3 linked regions of the Arabidopsis thaliana genome follow. The protein of the gene in region 1 interacts with the protein of each later gene in a pairwise test. Each region holds a gene or a part of one and is shown in the gene's direction. Other genes may lie near its edges.

The links.
Region 2: the proteins of TET2 (region 1) and TH7 interact in a protein complementation assay, tested with the Arabidopsis thaliana proteins (one large-scale study listed by BioGRID).
Region 3: the proteins of TET2 (region 1) and UTR3 interact in a protein complementation assay, tested with the Arabidopsis thaliana proteins (one large-scale study listed by BioGRID).

The regions. Positions count from the first base shown.
Region 1 is NC_003071.7:8,473,126-8,476,886, reverse strand, and holds the start of TET2 (tetraspanin2), read left to right. Parts: upstream 1-1,733; 5' UTR 1,734-1,865; coding exon 1,866-2,059; intron 2,060-2,144; coding exon 2,145-2,451; exon of another isoform or gene 2,452-3,282; intron 3,283-3,761. Other genes in the region: ACO1 (ACC oxidase 1), read left to right, coding at 63-648. UniProt on the Arabidopsis thaliana protein: May be involved in the regulation of cell differentiation.
Region 2 is NC_003070.9:21,951,936-21,955,068, reverse strand, and holds TH7 (thioredoxin H-type 7), read left to right. Parts: upstream 1-1,588; 5' UTR 1,589-1,676; coding exon 1,677-1,811; intron 1,812-1,974; coding exon 1,975-2,097; intron 2,098-2,178; coding exon 2,179-2,310; 3' UTR 2,311-2,472; downstream 2,473-3,133. Other genes in the region: AT1G59725 (DNAJ heat shock family protein), read right to left, coding at 2,859-3,133. UniProt on the Arabidopsis thaliana protein: Probable thiol-disulfide oxidoreductase that may be involved in the redox regulation of a number of cytosolic enzymes.
Region 3 is NC_003070.9:4,911,138-4,914,898, reverse strand, and holds the start of UTR3 (UDP-galactose transporter 3), read left to right. Parts: upstream 1-1,731; 5' UTR 1,732-1,869; coding exon 1,870-1,973; intron 1,974-2,162; coding exon 2,163-2,260; intron 2,261-2,355; coding exon 2,356-2,486; intron 2,487-2,600; coding exon 2,601-2,631; intron 2,632-2,716; coding exon 2,717-2,820; intron 2,821-2,912; coding exon 2,913-3,034; intron 3,035-3,131; coding exon 3,132-3,537; 3' UTR 3,538-3,761. UniProt on the Arabidopsis thaliana protein: Essential sugar transporter required for the transport of UDP-glucose from the cytoplasm into the Golgi and the endoplasmic reticulum. Essential for pollen development and involved in embryo sac progress.

The DNA.
Region 1 (3,761 bases):
CCATTTTTACCTGTTTGCTTATTTAACTAAACAATGTGAGAGGGTGAAATTGATATTTGCAGCAAGACGATGGATGAATATGTTTGTCAACTGCACAAGTTTGCAGAGAGACTCTCCAAGCTCATGTGTGAGAATCTTGGTCTTGATCAGGAAGACATAATGAATGCCTTTTCTGGTCCAAAAGGTCCAGCTTTTGGAACAAAAGTGGCTAAATACCCAGAATGCCCACGTCCTGAGCTTATGAGAGGGCTGAGAGAACATACGGATGCTGGGGGAATCATATTACTCCTGCAGGATGATCAAGTGCCTGGTCTTGAGTTCTTTAAAGATGGGAAGTGGGTTCCTATACCGCCATCCAAGAACAATACCATTTTTGTCAATACCGGTGATCAACTAGAGATACTGAGTAATGGGAGGTACAAGAGTGTTGTTCACCGTGTAATGACAGTGAAGCATGGAAGTAGACTGTCGATTGCTACGTTTTACAATCCGGCTGGTGATGCCATAATATCTCCAGCTCCAAAGCTCTTGTATCCAAGTGGCTACCGTTTTCAAGACTACCTAAAGCTTTATTCAACTACCAAGTTTGGAGACAAAGGCCCCAGACTTGAGACCATGAAGAAAATGGGAAATGCGGATTCAGCCTAGGATGCATCTGGAATTTGACGCTTCTGTACTCACATCATAAAAACTTTGTCTTCTTCTTGTGTTTCCTTATAATTTAAATAACCAGCCATGTCAGAATCTTGCTGATTCAGCTATACTACTTCACTCTTCTTTCTTCACTTCCACTTGAAAAGTTCCAAAGCCAAACTGAAGCAGTCTCATCAAGCTCTGTGTCGAACTTGAGATTAGACAAAGAGCTTGTAATCTAAGCTCTAAGATTGACAGTCAATTTCATGATTTATAAGATGTAATTCAACTCTTAACGTAATCCACAACTCCGCCATCATCTCTTTCCATATTCTCTCTGATTTGACTCATTTCCTTCCCAATTCCTAGAATCAAACAAATAGCATTTCTATATCAGCATCTAAAACTGAAAGCTAAGTGTGTATTGACTCAAAATTCTTCTCCAATCGCAATAAAATCGAGATGAGAAAAATTCATCCATATGTTTTGGTTCACACATTCTATCGAGCAGCTTGTGTGCAATCCCAATCCTCTGAACCAAAACAAAAGCTTATCTCTTGACCATTACCCGACATTTCACTCATCAGCCAACGACAAATCCTGCTCCGAAACCTCTAATGCTTGGAAAAGAAGAAAATTCCGATTTCCGAACAATGGAACTTACTCCATTTTGCATTCTCTGTCGAAAGTAACATACGTTCAATGCAAATGACCCAAAGTCGTCGGTGCCACGTGGATAGTTCTCACTGGTTGATGCATTCGGTAACTCGCAGAATGGAAGAATATTAACACAAAAGGCATCTCGCGTATCCACGTGTCCCGTTCAAGATTCCAAATTCTAAACCAAAAGCCGGTCCGACCAGATTAACAAGTTCTCTTTATTACATCACAACCCAAAACTTGTTCAAAACCTAACTTTTCATTGCTAAACATATTTTATTCTGACATTCACATGTTAACTTTAATCCAATATCTAATTCTTTTTTCTTAAAACCACCGTTGTCGAAAAATCCAAATCAGCAAAATCAGTGATTAACCGGACCGGACCAAACCGAACATCGTTTTCTGTAAATAGCAGTAACTGGTTTCACACATCCCATCATCTCTAACCACCGACCTCATAAGTCATTAAGACAAAAACAGAGACACTCCTCTCACTCTCATTATTTCATTTTCTTTCCATAAAAAGCACGAATCTTCAAGAACAAAGAGAGAGAGAGAGAGAAAATTTAATGGCGTTAGCGAATAACTTAACGGCGATACTCAACTTACTAGCGTTACTCTGTTCCATACCAATAACGGCGTCAGGTATATGGCTAGCTTCAAAGCCAGACAACGAGTGTGTCAATCTCCTCCGTTGGCCCGTTGTCGTCCTCGGCGTTCTCATCCTCGTCGTCTCCGCCACAGGCTTCATCGGCGCCTACAAGTAAGAATCAAAGAACTTCAAGACTTTGAAAACATAGACACAAATTGAATCATAAAGATGTAAACTTTGAGCTCTCATATTTCAGGTACAAGGAAACTCTACTGGCGGTTTACTTGTGCTGTATGGCGATATTGATCGGACTTTTGCTGGTGGTTCTTATATTTGCATTCGTCGTGACCCGGCCCGATGGATCGTATCGGGTTCCGGGTAGAGGTTATAAAGAGTATAGGCTTGAAGGGTTCTCGAATTGGCTTAAGGAGAACGTTGTGGATTCCAAGAACTGGGGAAGGCTAAGGGCTTGTTTGGCTGATACTAATGTTTGTCCTAAACTCAACCAAGAATTCATCACCGCCGATCAGTTCTTCTCCTCCTCTAAGATCACTCCTCTCCAGGCATGTTCTTTCTTCTTTTATTCTCTTTTATAAAAAGAACCCCGAAATTTCTAGTTTCCGGTTTAGGTTTGGTTTAGAGGTAAATCTAGACTAAATATCGGTTATGCAACTATGCCAACGAATCATTGTGGGTTTAATTAGATATTATTAGATGATTAATGGAGATAAGATACGAAGTAAAGAGAATGTTTTGTAAAATCTCTAGATTATGTGAGACCTACGGTTTGTTCTTGCCATAGAAAGATAGGTTATTTTTTCTTTCAAAAAGTAAAGTATGTGGTTTTAAATCAAAAAGTTAAAAAATTTCTCTTTAGCTTTTGTGAAGATGTCCAAAAGAGAATTGTTCTTATTCTCTATATTCTTTTTTTTTGTTTTGCAGCTTTAAGTTATTTCGTTTTGGATTTCCTCATCTTTGAAAAAACTAAAAAAATATTTTCTGACTTAATTAATCTTATGTTTTCTAGTGTTGGAGAGAAACCTACATTAGCTTTCTTAACGTTTCGCAGTTAGTGCCATTTTGTGGTAAAACTCATAGATTAGGCATATGTAATCACCATTATTGAACACATATTTATTCCTAGTAGACTGGTGTAGAAGTTGCTGGAGACCAAGTCCACAAGATTATATAGTAAGATAGTCAGATTTCAAAATTATACACTATCATAAGGACCCACCCATGCACCCACAATATGGTACATGATAAACTATGTTTTATCTGTGTATTAATTATATTTTTCCTTTGTCACTATCTCACTCATAAAATTCAATGATCCCATTCACTTTAGATAGTGTTTTTCGTGATCACAACTCAAACTTGACAAAATTTCCTACTTTTTCTATTTAATTTTATTAATTAAAATCACTCTTAAAATTCATTGTCATGTCTTTTATGTCTTTTAAGCTTTAAACATGGAGAGATTAAGGGTGATTTAAATAATTTTATTCCTAAAACTTCTATAGCAAGTTGTCATCCTAGTCCATTGTCACTGTAACAAGATTGGAACCACTAATAATTAAATAAGCCTAGATGCTGAGGTCTCGACTGAATTTTAAATCTTTTAGTCATTAGACATTATTAAATATTGGACCAATGATTTGATTCAATAATTACGATCACAAGTCTTTGTCTCCATCATGAAACATAATAGATAATTATATCCCTCCCATGTTGCCCCACTCACATTATAATTTTTCTTATTGGATAAATTAGGACTCAAGAAAAAATAAGTTTATTTCTAAGAAAGAGTTATACAATTTCTCGTCCTCGAGACAGAACCAAAATTTACTCATAAGTAAAAGAAGATTATTCT
Region 2 (3,133 bases), on another chromosome or scaffold:
TTAGATTGTGGAAAAACTTATATTAGAATCTTTATAGATCGAGCTAGGAATAAAGAAATATGTGGGTAGCAGAACTCATGCAACCTTTAAGAAAGTCATGTGTAATATTATCGATAAATTATGATTAAAAAATGAATAAATTCAAAGGCAAAATCTAAATTAAAAACGATTTTCTACACATGTTTAAATATCTAAACGTGATTAGTTTACTTTATGAATTACCAGTACAATAAATATTTGAGAATTCTTTTAAGTCTTAAACTACACAATTCCAAAATTCCAAATACAGTAAAAGTAAGGGAAAGAAAGTCTTAGGAAGGGTACTTACAAATTTAAGAAGTATTCCTTAATGTTTTCAGTTTTCTAAAAAACTTGTTGTATTTCTTTGATAACGCCTTCATATATATATATATATAATATATATATATGCATATTTTGATCCCAACATATATATATTTAATGTTTTATAAAGCATACTTTGATGCAACATTTCTACAAGTTTTTTTTAGTTCTTATAAAACAGTGGTGTTTCAATTTTATTAGAAATCAGACCAAAAAATGGTTTCAAATTAATATTTGCAAATCGAGATCTTAAACCCCAACAATATGTTCTAAAATTTAAGATATTCGAGCATCACCGAACTGTATTTTTGAATCAGCATTCCTAGTTCCTTGAGAATGAGAATTATAAGAGGATGATGTGAAAGTTTATGGGCAAAAAGTTAAAGATGATGTTCGTGGCTACGACGTGCATTTCTTGTCCCCCAGTATCGAATAAATTGTTAATTTCAAACTCATTTTCGACAATGATTCCTATAAGTACTGAAATGGAATAAGAAGGACCTTGAGGAAGAATTTGATGACAGCTTCTTTTTAACACAAATCAATATTCTTACACACGGACACACCAAACAACATTACAAATTTACAATGACATGCATGGTCATTTTGCAAATTTTTTTCTCGTTTTATTCTAATCTAATTTCGTTCTGTAAAGTTTTATGTAAATGTAAATTAAAGATTTCAGTAAAGACATAAGAGTATCACCATCAATTAGGAAAAAAATAAAAATGAGTTCTCATTAGAAACTCTCCTGCCATGTGACATTTTTATTTTTATAGTAATTAATAGCATTAATATTATATAGGTATTAGATCCTTGAAGTGGATGGTGCATATATTATTTAAACAAAACAAATTTTAACTACTTTTAATTTATAGCGTTGACAATAACTAATTAATCTAAACTAATAAATCAAGTACCTAGGCTACCATTTTTTAATTAGAAAATCGATCCGCCGCGGATTGTTATCCACCCACAAAAATAAAAAATTCGTTTGCAAATGTGATAGGCAAGCTAGTTCCTTGCAACCAGCTATATTTTTATGTAGTGGAGAATATTTAACAACTAACTGGAATTTTAAAAACACAAAGCGAAACTAAATTGGTATAAGCTATATATTCTTGAAAAAATAAAAAAATCAACGGCTAGAACTAAAGAAGGATAGCAAATTGAATCATATTCCTTTGCATTTACTTATTTATTTATAACCAACAAATTAAGTTCTCCGATTAAAAGCTATATAATGCTCCTCCTTGTCTCTCTTCTTTGCATATCAGTATATCACTAGCAAATAAGTGAACACCATTTCTTCATACATACACATTCCGAAGATAATGGGTTCCAATGTTTCATCTGTGCATGATGTTCATTCATCAATGGAAATTACCAGTAATGGATTTGTTGTGGAAATCGAATCAAGAAGACAATGGAAATCTCTCTTTGATTCCATGAAAGGCTCAAACAAATTGGTATACATTACTCGAAAACTACCTAAAACGTATTAAATTTTTTTAACCAAACTTATAATGTTTGTTTTAAATCTTATACTATTTGTGTTTTCTAATTTTGTTTACAAGTAAATGACATGTTTTTTCTCTTAAACTAACTGAAAAAATTATTGTGGTTTTGAAGCTAGTAATTGATTTCACAGCTGTATGGTGTGGACCTTGTAAAGCAATGGAACCTAGAGTTAGGGAGATTGCTTCAAAGTACTCAGAAGCTGTGTTTGCTAGGGTTGATGTGGATAGGCTAATGGTAATTACTCTTTTTTTTTATTACTTGAAGAAGAATCATCTTATGGTTTCAAGACTAAGCTATAATTGGTATGTATTCCAGGATGTGGCTGGGACATATAGAGCTATTACACTTCCAGCTTTTGTTTTTGTGAAGAGAGGAGAAGAGATTGATAGGGTTGTTGGAGCCAAACCTGATGAGCTCGTGAAGAAGATTGAACAACATAGGGTTTAAGTTTTTTCTTTTCCCTTACAAAAAAATGATTATTATACTTTTGAATGTCTGTTCTGAATTGATTGTTTGAAGTTGGGTTTCTGGTTTGTTGTTTAATTTCTCAAAACAATATAAATAATAATGTCAAAAATGAAAACAATTAACAAAAATGTTGTAGTTATATTTGTATGAAATCTAATCACCCCAACGTAAGCAAAACAACATAACAATGGTAATGTGAGTATGGCGACTAAAAGAACTATACCATAAAAAAAAAAAAAAAAGAGTCCCATTCCAAGTATATGTTAAAATACTAAATGGAAAAAAACAAACGTTACATAACATTTTCGAAGAGCTTGTATGAAGTTGAGAGTTACATATATAACTTATGAAAGCAGAATAAATTAGATAACAACAAAGATAGCTTTTACAACAAAAAACAATCAATTCTGCTTACTATTTCGTGATCAAGATATGAGATCAAAAACGAAAACCGATCAATTCTGTATATGTATGTACACTGAATTGACCTTTTGAATTCAAGAGCTTTCTTGAAACTAGTTGCCAATTCAGCTACCACCAAGAACTCTCTTGAGATCTGTCTTCTGTTCCGATGTTAGCCTCGAGGGGAAACATATCTCAAAGTTGATTCTTAGATCTCCTCTCTTTGAACCTTCTTTAGAGATGGGCATTCCTTCACTAGGAATCACTATCTCCTGACCCGGTTTAACGATATCCAAAACCGGGATAGTCAGATTCCTCCCGTCTAGTGTTGTTAAGCTAAGAGTGATCCCTGTTAAAGCCTCCAAAAGCGAAACTTTCTTGTCTACAATAAGATCGTTAC
Region 3 (3,761 bases), on another chromosome or scaffold:
AGAATTTAAAAAGAATTAAAAGGAAGTTGTGGTTTTTGTTTGGTGTTTTTTTTAACTAATTATGGTCATGGTTGACGTCTGCTAAGGGACAACAAAGTGGTGGGTCTGGATCGCCCATATCGTTGAAATTTTGATCGATATTTTACAATAATACTTACTATCGTTCAGTCACAATTATTAGCGAGATTCCCCTTCAATCAAGATGTTAAGTGTTTACAACTTTTCTTTGGATGTTATATTTATGTTTAAGAAACTTTTACATACACTTCCAAATTATGAGAGATATCAAAACCTTAGAATAAAATTTGGTATTATGGACGATTTTATCTTTCTGAGACGTATTGGATTTACTATTAGATTATTGTGCATATGGCATGCATGCATTAGATATATATAGTCTTTCTTCGATAAATAAAAGTTTAGTCAATGGATGAATCAATCTTTATGTGTAGATCTTTTGTTGATCAACAGGTGATCAAGATTTAAAGGACCCGAAATTAGTTACGAAGTATTGTGGATTTTTCGCATTCTAGTTGACCAAATGAATAATTAAAGTATGAGATTCAACTCTTAAATAATATTTTTGTAAAATTAAGTTTTGAGTTAAGAGACAACGTTAAACCGTCATAATTTATGTGTGTTATATATATAATCGTCAAACCATGGTAAATAACTAAACGCATAGTAGACAAAAAATTTGTAATCATAGATGTAGACGACGGTAATCATCATTTAGATTTGAATTTTTAATGGAACGTGGTGGCTAACGTCGAATACATTTTTGGTGTATTTCTTAAATATAATATCCCATGCATTGACCCAAGAAACTACTTATTAATCAGTTAATCTATATTCACATTGTTATTGACCGGCAGATCGAAAGAGAGTTCTTTTTTCTTTTGCATATTGCATATCACGTGTGGACAAAAGCCCCATTTGGAATCTTTTATGATATTATATTGTTATGTTACACATTAATTTGTTATCTCACCAAGACTTCTATTTTCATTTTGTATCCGGTAAGAGTCACTCTTTTGAGTTTTGACTTTTGACTCTTCAAAATGTATAATTGGTTCTCCCATGAGGATTAAGTATGTCATATAAATTCCGTTTCCCAATATATATAACTTCTATTTTCATTGAGATATAGTATAATATTATTCGTATAGAAAATTACTCAAATCATAATGAACTATGCATGAGTGCATGCATGTGATACCTTGTTTTAATATAATGGAAATTCGATATTTCAAACTTTTCTCGCTATGTTGACGTTATTGTCACATTTACTTTAAGATATATCATATTTTGTTTTAGTAATCTTAACAATGGGTCATCACTAAATTTTAATCAATTAAATCATGTTGGCAACTTTCCTCCATTTGTGTATATACGCCTTTTTCTTTCATTTTCTTACCACAAGTGATCTTAGATTTGTATGAATTCATCAGTTAGTCAAACTGACATGATTAGCTGTGTGCAAGTTTGCTTAATCAAATTAAGGCCCAAGCTGTAAAAAGAACATCCGTTTACAAGTTCTAGGAAACTGCGTGACGTTTTCATGACAATAAAACGGCACATAGTTCCCATTCCTATCTCAGACATGAATGTGCATATGACTTGGATTCCAGAAATAAATCCACGTCCTATAGCCAATCAGAAGTGTCATGTCAGATTATTAAGCCAATGACACAGTTACACGTGGAAAATCTACGTCTTTCTCGCGCCTCCTACACTCTCTCTAATAACTTTCGTTTCCACTTCAGACCGATCTCATAATTTGATCGCAAAACTGATCAAATAGCGTAAAATTGAAATTCAAATTTTCGCCGGAGCTCCGTCGGATAAAACAATAAGCGACGTGCGGCGATGGAATCTCACGGTTCCGGTCTCCGGCGAGTTCTGTTATTGTCGTTCTGTGTCGCTGGGATCTGGGCAGCTTACATATACCAAGGCATTCTTCAAGAGACCTTGTAAGTAAAACTCGTTAGGGTCGAAATCGATCAATCTTATTTTAGCTCGTTGATTATTTTCTCTCGACATTGCTCGATTCTGTTTGTTCGAGATTGTTTCTATTCTCGGAATCCTGGTTGGTGATGCGTTTGCAATTATTGGAAATTTATAGAAATGTAGCTGATAGAACTCTAACATTTTCGAATTAGGTCGACGAAGAAATTTGGTGAAGATGGGAAGAGATTCGAGCATCTTGCATTTCTGAATTTGGCTCAGAATGTAATCTGCTTGGTTTGGTCTTATATAAGTGAGTAGGGCATCTTCATTGTTTATTCCTTAGAATTATAAGTTTATAACAGACGAATAAATGGAACTGAAGTATTTTTGATTGATTATGAGCAGTGATTAAGCTCTGGTCCAACGGAGGTTCTGGTGGAGCCCCATGGTGGACGTATTGGAGTGCTGGCATTACTAATACCATTGGTCCTGCTATGGGCATTGAAGCTTTAAAGTATATTAGTTACCCAGCTCAGGTAAATTAGGCATTGTTAGTGTAATAAAAACCTCATTTTTCTTGATTATGGTTGATAGTTGAGGTAATAACCTTTCTTGGGAAGTAATATTGATGCAAAACTTGCTTCTTGCAGGTCCTTGCAAAATCTTCCAAAATGATTCCAGGTGAGGTGTCAATTTAGAGCATCAATCCATAATCGCTCTCAACTGCTGCTATGTGTATCTTATATATGTTTTTTCTTTCATGTAGTTATGCTGATGGGCTCCTTAGTTTATGGCATAAGATACACTTTGCCTGAGTATCTTTGCACCTTTCTTGTTGCCGGAGGAGTATCTATGTTTGCCCTTCTTAAGGTAGGCAAATCTGCATTCAGGAACTTTGATCATAATCTTTGTTATACTTTGTCTGTGGAAATGTAGTAAACCGTCTTTGACTTGGTTTACAGACAAGCTCTAAAACCATCAGCAAGCTAGCACATCCCAATGCACCCCTTGGTTACGGGCTTTGCTTCTTAAACCTTGCCTTTGATGGATTCACAAACGCAACCCAGGATTCCATTACCGCAAGGTATGACTCTTGACATTCTGTCAGATACTTAACCCAGTCTGACATCTACAACATGGTCTAGATGTTGGACATTAATCATCGCCATACATGGATACAGGTACCCCAAAACTAACGCATGGGACATAATGCTGGGAATGAATTTATGGGGAACCATATACAACATGGTCTACATGTTTGGATTGCCACATGGGAGCGGATTTGAAGCTGTGCAGTTCTGCAAGCAACACCCTGAGGCAGCATGGGACATTCTTATGTACTGTTTATGCGGTGCAGTAGGCCAAAACTTCATCTTCTTGACAATAAGCAGATTCGGGTCTCTAGCTAACACGACCATAACCACAACCAGGAAGTTTGTAAGCATCGTGGTATCTTCAGTTTTGAGCGGGAATCCGTTATCTTCCAAACAATGGGGATGTGTGTCGATGGTGTTCGGTGGATTGTCTTACCAAATTTACCTGAAATGGAGGAAGCTGCAGAGAATGCAGAAGAAGAAAAAGGCCTGAAGCTGAGATTGGGGATCAAAATATTTAATTCTTCAAGAAAATTGTTTTTGATTTGGAAACTTTTTACTTCCAAATATGTCTGAAAGTTAGAGAGAAGAAAGCTTAGTCCATTAGCAAAATGTAAACTAATGCATTAGAAGAAACTTATATATATCAAACCAAAAGACAAATCATATATTTCCACTCATATATATTTGTCTTAACAATACAACAAACTCTTCCTT